2 linked regions of the Canis lupus familiaris genome follow. The main gene of each other region encodes a partner of the protein of the gene in region 2 in a complex. Links are inferred from orthologs where the notes say so. Each region holds a gene or a part of one and is shown on either strand. Other genes may lie near its edges.

What was found. The genes of interacting proteins can lie anywhere in the genome.
Region 1: the proteins of TFDP1 (region 2) and E2F1 are in contact, whole or in part, in a crystal structure (PDB 2AZE), measured with the Homo sapiens proteins. The link is inferred for Canis lupus familiaris from reciprocal best matches to the Homo sapiens genes TFDP1 and E2F1. Residues at the interface, in NP_009042.1 of Homo sapiens: Glu201, Cys202, Leu205, Glu206, Glu208, Arg209, Arg212, Leu213, Arg215, Ile216, Lys219, Gln220, Gln222, Leu223, Leu226, Ile227, Gln229, Gln230, Phe233, Lys234, Leu236, Val237, Arg239, Asn240, Arg241, Glu244, Pro251, Ser255, Val256, Ile257; in NP_005216.1 of Homo sapiens: Arg202, Leu203, Leu206, Thr207, Asp209, Leu210, Leu213, Gln214, Ser216, Glu217, Leu220, Asp221, Leu223, Met224, Ile226, Cys227, Thr228, Gln230, Leu231, Leu234, Asp239, Ser240, Gln241, Arg242, Leu243, Ala244, Tyr245, Val246, Thr247, Cys248.

The regions. Positions count from the first base shown.
Region 1 is NC_049245.1:23,405,261-23,409,972, reverse strand, and holds the start of E2F1 (transcription factor E2F1), read left to right. Parts: upstream 1-1,449; 5' UTR 1,450-1,464; coding exon 1,465-1,725; intron 1,726-4,712. UniProt on the Homo sapiens protein: Transcription activator that binds DNA cooperatively with DP proteins through the E2 recognition site, 5'-TTTC[CG]CGC-3' found in the promoter region of a number of genes whose products are involved in cell cycle regulation or in DNA replication.
Region 2 is NC_049243.1:61,024,972-61,029,981, reverse strand, and holds the start of TFDP1 (transcription factor Dp-1), read right to left. Parts: upstream 3,342-5,010; 5' UTR 3,260-3,341; coding exon 3,233-3,259; intron 1-3,232. UniProt on the Homo sapiens protein: Can stimulate E2F-dependent transcription.

The DNA.
Region 1 (4,712 bases), on a different chromosome or scaffold from region 2:
GCCTCAAGCAACAGCCTGTTCCATTCCTAACCTTTCTCAGCACCTGCTTTGGGTCTTACCAGTGTTGAGAGGAGGCCCTGTTGGAGCTCCCAGTCTAGTAGGAGAGGCAGATGGAGAAACTGAGTGTGTGGTCAGTGTTGGGACAGAGGCAGCACTGGGCAATGGAGGAAGTGAGTAATTAGGACTCTGGAGGCTCTCTGGAGGAAGTCATGTATATTCTGGGCTTAGGGATTTGATCCTTGTTTGTGTATTAGCTCCCCCCCCCCCCCCGTGGGTCATCTCCACCAGATGGCAGGCAAGTTCATAGAAATGATCAAGTCTCACGTCTCTGCCCTCAAAGCTGGCACAAGGCCTGGCACAGAGGAGAGGACAATATTGGTCAAATCAGCTGACCTGAGCAATGAGAAATGGCTGATGGAGAGGTCCCAGGGCCTCCGGATTAACTGCATTTTCATGCTCAGCACCCTTACCTCCTCCCTTTGTGAACTCTAACGTGGAGTTAATGGTGGAAATTCCTCCTCATATTCCAAGCATTCGTTACTTCTATTCCTCTCCTTCTCTTTTCACAAGACCGAGCTCTTCAAGGTCTGAACTAAGAATGGGGCACAGAGCAGGCTCTCAAAAACGTTTGTTGAATAAATGGGTGAATAAATGAGTTCAAGCAGAAGCTGTGCATCGGCTATTGAAGAGATTCCAGCTAAAAGGGGGCTTACAGGAAAGCCCCAAGCTGTATTGGGCCAGATGTCCCTCCTCATTTTCTAACAGCCCGCTTCTGCTGGGGCTCCGGGTGAGAGGGACAGGGCAGGTGCAGGATTTGAAAGTAAATGGTATAGATGGGGCAAGTTGAGGATGGGAGCGGCAGCTGGGGCTTTGGAGACAGGCCTGACCATAGAAAAAAGGAAGGGCAGTTTCTAAGTGATTCAGACTAAGGTTGTTGGGGCTACAGGTGGCGGAGTCTAGGGGGTCACGGGAGGTCCGAATACGGTGTGAAGCGCAGAACGGACACTGACCCAAAGGGCTCCACATGCCGGGACCCGGAGTCCGCGGGGCGTCGGGGTGCGAGCCGCGCCACCACGCCCGGGGTAGGGACAGTCCCGGCTGGGGGCGGGGAGTGCGAGAGCTCCTGGCACCGCCCCGACAAAGCCTGCGCGCGCCCGGCCCCGCGATTGGCCGCGCCTCCTCGCGCCGACGCCCCGTCCCGCCCACCGCCGCCGGTCCGGCACGCTGCAGCCAATGGACCCCGTCGCCGTCGCCTACGTCACGGGCCCGACAGCCAATGGTCAGAGCGCTCGGCGGCTCGTGGCTCTTTCGCGGCAAAAAGGATTTGGCGCGTAAAAGTGGCCGGGACTTTGCAGGCAGCGGCGGCCGGGGGCGGAGCGGGATCGAGCCCTCGCCGCGGCCTGCCGCCATGGGCCCGCGCCGCCGCCGCCGCCTGCCACCCGGGCCGCGCGGGCCGTGAGCGCCATGGCCGTGGCCGGGGCCCCCGCAGGCGGCCCATGCGCGCCGGCGCTGGAGGCCCTGCTCGGGGCCGGCGCGCTGCGGCTGCTCGACTCCTCGCAGATCGTCATCATCTCCACGGCGCAGGACGCCAGCGCCCCGCCGGCCCCCGCCGGCCCGGCCGCGCCGGCCGCTGGCCCCCGCGACCCCGACCTGCTGCTCTTCGCCACGCCGCAGGCGCCCCGGCCCACACCCAGCGCGCCGCGCCCTGCGCTCGGCCGCCCGCCGGTACGGACACCAGGGACACAGGGCCGAGTGCACGTCTGGACCCCCGTGCAGACCCGGTCGGGGCGCGGTTTTTGGCCCGGAGGCAACGGGGGCGGGGGGAGGGGGTGGGCCGAGGCTCCCGGGCTGGGCGGGGTCGAGCCTGGGTTGGGCCTCCGGGCCCCGCCCCGGGATGCGGGGTGACCTCGGGCCAGTCGCTGTTTGCTCCTCTGCTCTGGGCCTCGGCTTTCCCCGAGCCGCTCGAGGGTCAGACTCAGTGGTAATAATAGCCCACGTGTATTCAGCTGGTGTTGCCTGCATGCCAGGTCTCTGGCGAACTTCGAGCCAGAACTCACAACCATGCTGTGAGCTCAGTGTTGTCACTGTGCCCATCTGAACGGAGGCCCGGAGAGGGGAAGTGACTTGCCCCCGGTCATACGGCTGCAAGTGGTGGGGCTGGGATTTGAACTGAGGCCTGCTGGCTCCAGACCAGAACTCGTGGCAGGGTAGTGGACAGGGCCCCTTGAGGAGGTCGAGGGGGCTATCCTGGGGCCAGACTGCTGAAAGAGTCATTGAGGAGACCCTCCTTCCTGCCTAGATGCTCCACTGCCAGGTGCAGGCCTGGGCCTCTGGGCCTCTGGGGACAGGCCTCCTGGCTGGGAGGCCTTCTCTGCAGGGGCGGGGTGGCTGGGCCAGCTGCTGATCCCCTCCCTCTGCCTGTCCTTCCATCTGCCACCCTCCACCCTCACAGGCCCTGGTTGCCATGGAGCCTCATTAATCAGGCAGGCAGACCCCTAGGCCCCCAGGGAAGTAATGGGTGGGCTGGGCCTCTGGGAGCTGGAGTGGAGGCCCCCAGTGCCAGGAGAGAGTAAATATTCCAGGGAGATGCCTTGATAAAGTGCTCCCTGAGCAGCAAGAGGCTCAGGAGCAATTTGGACTGGGGGCCCCAGAAAAGATTGCTTAATTACTGGAGAGCAGGGCCTAGAGGCCTGGAGCTTGGACCTGTGAGCTGCAGGACTGGGCGTGGAGACCAGCTTGACTGTCAGGGCCTGTGGGTGAAGGTGGGGCATGGAAGGCTGCTGGCAGGGGGCAGGGGCCAGGCCAGCCAGGCAGGAGGGGGTCTCAGCAGGGGGCCTGGAGCAAGTAGGAGGGGTGAAGCAGAGCCCGGGCAAGGAGGTGGAAGCTATCCAACTGCTTATGGGGGCCTGGGTGGCAGCTGGTCCCTGAGGCATCCCGGCAAGTCTCCCCTAACTCCCTTGGCCCCTCGCCCAGCCTAGCTCTGCCTTCCTTCCGGAATCACCAAGACGCTAATAATAATAACAATAGGAGCCACCATTGTTTTGAGACTGTTTTATATGTCAGGCTGTGTGCCAAGCACTTCACCCAGTTAACTCTCTCAACAACCATCCCCTTTTACAGATAGGGAAGCTGAGACCTAGAGATGATAGGTCATTCAGCTAGTGGAATGGTGGGACCAGTCCAGACTTCCTGAGCTGTTAACTAGTTAGCCACTGGGATGCCTTGCCTCCTAGAAATGTTAATAATACAGGTTGAAGGAAGTTAGGAACCCTTCTGATGGGTAAAGGGAGGAGGATTGTACTAAGGGTGGGTCACCTCTATCCCAGGGGCCTTTTTTCTCTGCAGGTGCCAGCCTGGGGCTTGGACCTGAAAACTGCATTTAGCTGACTGACAAGTACTTAGCCGACCTGGGGCTGTAGAAGCTGAGCTCCAGGCCCAGAGGGCTGCCAGAGACTGGGCTGAGGAAATGTACCCACCCCACCCCCAGCAGTGTCAGGGGCAGCCTTGTGGGCCTGAGCATTCCATCCATTCTACTGTTGAGTTAGTGAACTGCCCAAAAGGTACTAGACAATGGGCAAAGAAGGAGCCTCTGCCCTCACAGCTTTGAAGCACTAGTATCCATTTTCTGCCGGTGGGTGGGGGTGAGGGCTGGCACCACCCCAGAGCTGAAGTCCAGAAACACCCCCTCCAAGACTCTCCACTCTTGTACCTCTGGTCAGCCACTGGCCGATTGAGCTGTGGCCTCCTCTGACCCTCTGCACTGACATTTGTGTGAGGCAGTCTTTGAAACAAGCTACGGGTTCAGCTTCTGCATCAGTGAGCATTCATTGAGCACCTCTAGCATGCAAGACTCTACAACTCAGCCATTCCTCCTGGCACTTCCTGTCCACCTCTATCCTGTTGTCATAGCTGTTAAAAAGCAAATTAAAACATTTACTATAGAAAAAGTTAAGAGGCTAAAAAGTTGAAGGATGCCAACACCATTCATTTTTCCTCCTGTTTTCTTTTCCTAAGCCTGTTTTTTTTTAAAAAAGATGGTTGTGACAGCTTTTTTTTCCCCTTAAATTTTAAAAATTGTAGTTTTTCCTTTGTTTCTATGTTCAAACAGTAGATCATCCCCATTTTATAGATATAGTAACAGTCCCCCCATGGTTGTCCTCCACCCACATACCATACAGAGGTTACCCCTAGAATGGATTCTAGAATATTAGACACTGAACCAGAGAAAAATGTTTCATGTTTTTAATCCAAAAAGGGATCATATAAATGCATTGCCCTCTGATGATATTTTTCTTGTCATTATGTCTTTAAGAGGATTCTGTGTCACCCTTCATTAGTCCTTGACAGCTACGTGGTATTCCAGGGACTGGATGAGCCACACTTTTTGTGGCTCCCCTTCCATAGATGTTGGAGATGTCCACATTTTTTCACCACAATGTTCTGTGTGTCTTCACCTCTGCCTTTTTAGGTTCCTGTGCCAAGCTCTAGAGTGTGGTGGCTGAAATGGAGACCTGCTTGAGCCCTTGCTTTAGGGTGTGGCATTGACCTGTCATCACGGTGGGCATGGGCCTGAGGAGCAGGGAGATGAGGGGTGCAATTGGCAGGAGGATGCTAGGTTCAGGCCTAAGGGGTAAGGCCGGAGAGGAGACACACATGGCTTTTGGGGGCTGGTCTCTGGACGAAGCTGCAGGGAAGCAGGACACGTAGTAGGT
Region 2 (5,010 bases):
CTTGAGGCCAGAGCCTGTGTCCTATGAGGAGCCTGAGGTTTGCAGCTTCCAGAAGCACATCTCCCAAGCACACATGTGGCAGTGATGAGCCTGGAGTACACACAAGCACAGCTCACCTGAACCTGGCATGGGAGAACCCCCACCTCAGGCCCCGCGGCATCCCAGGGGTGGGTTTACGGTCTCTACTGGATGCACAGTGAACAAACTAAATGCATCATCCACACAAGAAACCAAGAGTATATATCCCAACTCACTGACTCCACCTGAGATGGAAGTCAGGCCTACACATGTGAGGGACTACCTGCACAGCCTTGGAGCCCAGCAAAGCTTCCTGGACTCTCCAAAACCCCAACTTCCCAAAGAAACCAAGGGACCAAGTGTGTGTGCCCAGGAGGACAATGGCAGATTGAGGCCTGGCTGGGTTAGAAGATCACTGGCCAGGAAGTGGGTGAGGAAGACTTTCCACTTGCCGATGGAGCCCAAAACAGACTGGTCCCAGCAAACAGGCTCCAAGTGCCCCAGAGCCACAAGACACCAAGTACCTTGAAGCGAGGACCTAGCTATAGCAGGAGAGTGACTCAGTGCCCCCACAATGACAGCAGCACCTGTCAGACAGCCCCAGACACCCCCCTCCCCGGCACATCACCGGCGCTGCCAGCTCCTCCTTCCCACAGCCCCAAGGGCTCCTCAATCCCATAGATGTGGCCCTGAAGGCCCTGTCCACAATCCTTCACACCAGAGCAGATGCATGAGTGGACGCTGGACAAAGACCCGATGAGAACAGGGCCTGACTGCCCTCACGAGTCTACCCCGGTAGGACTGGTGGGACCCAGCATCTGCCCTGATCTGGTGCCACTGCACGTGCCGCTCTGGCGCTCACTGGCCGTTCACTGGAATGCCAAGAATGCTGCCACCCCTGTCCCATAGAGATGGCGCTCATGGTTGGCACAGCAGTGGCACAACCCTAGCAACCCTCACAACCCAAAGCAAGAACCAAGCTGGGAAGCCCCAAGTCCCCCTGGGGAACACCCAGTCTGACTCGAGCTATAGGTCAGAGCAGCCCGTCCTCCCTGGAACAGAAGGGCTTCATCTTCCCCCACCACGGGCTGCCTGCAGTAGCACCCAATGGGCGGCCTGGGCGAGAAGAGACCAGCACAACCTTTTCTGGAAAAGTCTGGGAATGGATGAAGAGGCCAGTCCCTACCAGTCTCAATGTCAGGACCCAGAGCTGAGGAGCCACTGGAGAACCAACGGACAAGACATAAAGGAAGGCAGCTGCAGAGCCCAGAGGATGAAGGAGCCACACAAGCACTGGACAAGAGACAGGTCCCCCACAAGTATCAGGTCTGCTCCGTGATACCAGGAAAACCCTCACATGAACCCTGAGTGCTCATGCTCGGTCAGATTCCTGTCTCTTGTACTCCCAAAGAGCTCGTGTAAAAGGGGGGCTGGGAATTTTAATATGGGCGGTGCACCCACCACCTGTGCAGCAGGCCGGGCCCAGCCTCACTCTGTCCCGTGAGAGCCCAGTGATGGGCAGTGGCCAGGCACAAAGCGGCTGCAACATCCAGAGCATACTGTCCCAGCAGCACGAGTCCAGATCTCAGGCTGGGAAGACCCTGTCTGACGCAGTTTGCCCTTCACTGTTAGACCAGCAGCACACAGGCCACCACCACCAGACGCTGGCAGCCCCCCAGGTGCGACAACGCCTGGAGGCTATAGGTGCCATTTCTGGAAATGCACTGCCTCTGATGGGATCATCTGCCCAGAGCTGCCAGGTCAGGAAAGACACACCTGTCTTATTCCCAAGCCTGGTTTTCAGTTCGGAGCCTAAGAACCACAGGACAACAAATCTGACCTAGAAAGAAGCTAAGCAGCTGGCAACCAGCTCCTGTGGACGCCTACACTGTCCACACTCAGGACGGTGACCAGTTTACCCCACAGCAAGTCTTCCAGACACAGAAATGATCTGTTTGGAGACAGAACATGCGTCAGAATCACAAGAGGTGCGAGCTTGTTTTTCACTAACAAAATGAGAAAAACAAAAACACTACTTTTAATGCTCTTGTTCACGGGTGATGTGGAGAACAGCTTGTACCCCAAGCCTGGGGGATGGTGACCAACATATGAGACAGAACTGGGAAACCACGGGCCCCAGGCACTCTGCTGGGGCTGGGGCGTCAGGCTCCAGGAAATCGCCACACCATCAGGCAGACCTGTCCTCGCCTGGGGGCGAGGTGGGAACAGAGATGGCGAGATGGTATGCTGTGTCCCACTGTGGGTCACCAGGAGAGGTGACAAGGCCCGTGGGTACAGCTGCCGTGGAGGCCAGTGCTTTGGGTACACACTTTCTGGTGGCTGCAGAGCCGGGCAGTGTCTCCACTGCAACCCAGCCACTCCCAAATTCTGACCCACAGAAACCCTGCAGGAGAATAAACATTTACTATTATTTTAACCACTGAGCTTTGGGGTCCTTTGTTTCACAGCAATGACGACAGTGGTCAATCGTTTTGCTACAGAACCTAAGGGAAAAAAAATGCTTCTTTTCATCAACTGGGAAGTCATTCAATATATTTCTGAAACAAACTTTAACAGTAGCACACAGATTTGGCACAAATTTCCTGGTGTAAGACCACTCATTGCCAATTATCAAAGACAAACAGCCATGACCAAAGTAACGTATCTAGGTTTCCTGACCTCAGACAACAGCACCTGATGAGTGCGTCCACAAGGAGCGATGGCCTGGGAGTAAGCGAGCCCTGTGGTGCCCGGCTGGCAGGATCACCGCTGACTACTCAGGCAGCAGAGGCCTGGCAGCTGCGATACCAAGCAGGACACTCCTGAGGCCAACTGGCTTCCCTGTACGGATGACCTACACTGGCTCCAGTGCTGGTTCATCCTGCCCAACTGCCCACACTCACAGCACAACACAGTTTCCACACGAAGCCCAGGCCCCACCCAGCTCGCATCCCCCAATTCCGCTCTCTGTGGAGAGACACACTTGAGTGCAGCAGGCTGTGCAGGTCTACTTCATCTGGAGGTGCACAGCCCACGAGGGCTGCACCCCTCCCGTGCGCAGCAGGTACAGTGGCCCACGACAGCAGCAGAAGCGTGAGGACAGAGTCTTTATACTCAAAATGCAAACCTACCCTCCAGTAAGAAAAACACCAAAATGCTAAATTTGTGTTAACACATAAACCAAAAGCAGAAGCACTCGTGTGCCACAACTAACCGTTTTTCTTACAAACATGGCATTCATCCTTTCATGTTTGTGCTACATGAAAACAAAACCAGCTGCTATGTTCTCATGTGGGCAACGAGGATCCCGCTCCCACAGAAAGTCACCAAGCCGCCTGGAGAGCTGAGCCAACTGCAAGGGCAGACAGAAAGGGGATTAAGACCACTTTAGATGATTCACAGAACGAGCCAGAAGTCACCAGGCTCCAGGCTTCAGAAAGTCCACCCATGTCCCTCCAAGCGCCCTCTACCCCCCACAAGGCGCGAGGGCCACAGCAAGGCCCTGCCTCATCCTGCCGCCCACCCTGGATCTTCCTCCCCCTCCACCCACCCCATCATCGCCCCCTACCCCCATCCTCTCCCTGAAACACACCCCATGAGACAGACTCCCTCTGGGCGCCCGCATGACAAGCAGGACAGAGCCCCAGAACTCAGGGCCCGTTGGAGATGAAGCCTGTGACAGGGCAGCAGGGCGCAGCTCCCGGTGGGAGGGGAGGCCAGGGCTGCCTCACTGCCCCCCTCCATGGGCAGGCCCCATGCTTCCCACCACCTCTGCACACTTTCTACTTCCAAACAGGTTACCTACCACGGAATACAAGTCCCCACGGGGGAACAGAAGCCCCTTAAGGCAGGACAGAGGCCTGGGCAGACAACCCCCATGGCAAGTCCAGATCGAAGCGGTCCCCCAGCCCGGCACGGAGGCTGGGAAGGGCTGAGTGGTGGCACCCAAGCAGCCACTGTTAAGTCTCAAACAAATGGCAAGACGCTCCAACAGAACTTCACCTCCTAGAAGAGGCAGTAGGCTAGTCATTCAAAGACAGAAGCATGAAAGCACCCAAACGGGGCCAATGAACGGATGGAGAGTCAATGAGGACATGGAAACGTGGAAAAGCCAGCAGAGAAAGAGAAACCTACACACAGATCTCCTCAGGGACAGTCACACAAAACGTGGGGCACCTGAAGGAAGCTACAAGGGCCTTGAGAGAGGGACCACCCTCCTCTACTGACCTTGCCCCCAGCCCCCAGTGATACTCCTTACAGGGGCCCCTTTGCACACGCAGCGGTGGCCAGCACCCAACCACAGTATCAGAAGCACGTCTGGGCCGAGGGGGCATGGAGTGCTGCTGGGAGTGCCGGCAGGAGGCAGACACAGTGCTACCAGCAGTGATGGGTGTGGAAGAGGGCAGTGGAGTCCTTCCACAGAGGCCAACAGAGACACCAACTCCCAGGAATCACAGCACCCACGGGGCCACACAGGAGACTCCCTGGCTCCCTGATGGATACACGCCACAGCCACGGGGCAGAAACCTCAACACTGCAAATCATACCACAGAATGCCAAACGCTGCTCAACACCTCCCGTTTCAGGGGGGACCTGCAGTGGGACCTGGCCCTCACTCCACCCCATGGGTCCCATGTAGACCCTCCCTCAAATGCAGAGCCACAGGACAGGGCCTCCAGCACCAAGGACAGGGCAAGTCCAGTGGACACAGCGGACACAGCCTGCGGGCACCCTGCAGGCTCCCAGGGTGGGAGGTAAGGGGGAACCACCTAATCCCCTCTCCATGAGTGAGGCCTGACCTAGTGATGGGATCTGCAAAGGCCAGGTCAGGTTTCAGGAGCTGGGTCTTGCTGGCTCGTCTCTCTCTCCCTGTGTGTCTGTGGATCTCACTCCAACCCTCCCCTCTCTCTCCCCTGCTGCTCCCTTGCTCTGGCAACACAAGCTACCCCGCAGCAGGCCCACAAGGCAGGGAACTCAAGGCAACCCCCCCAC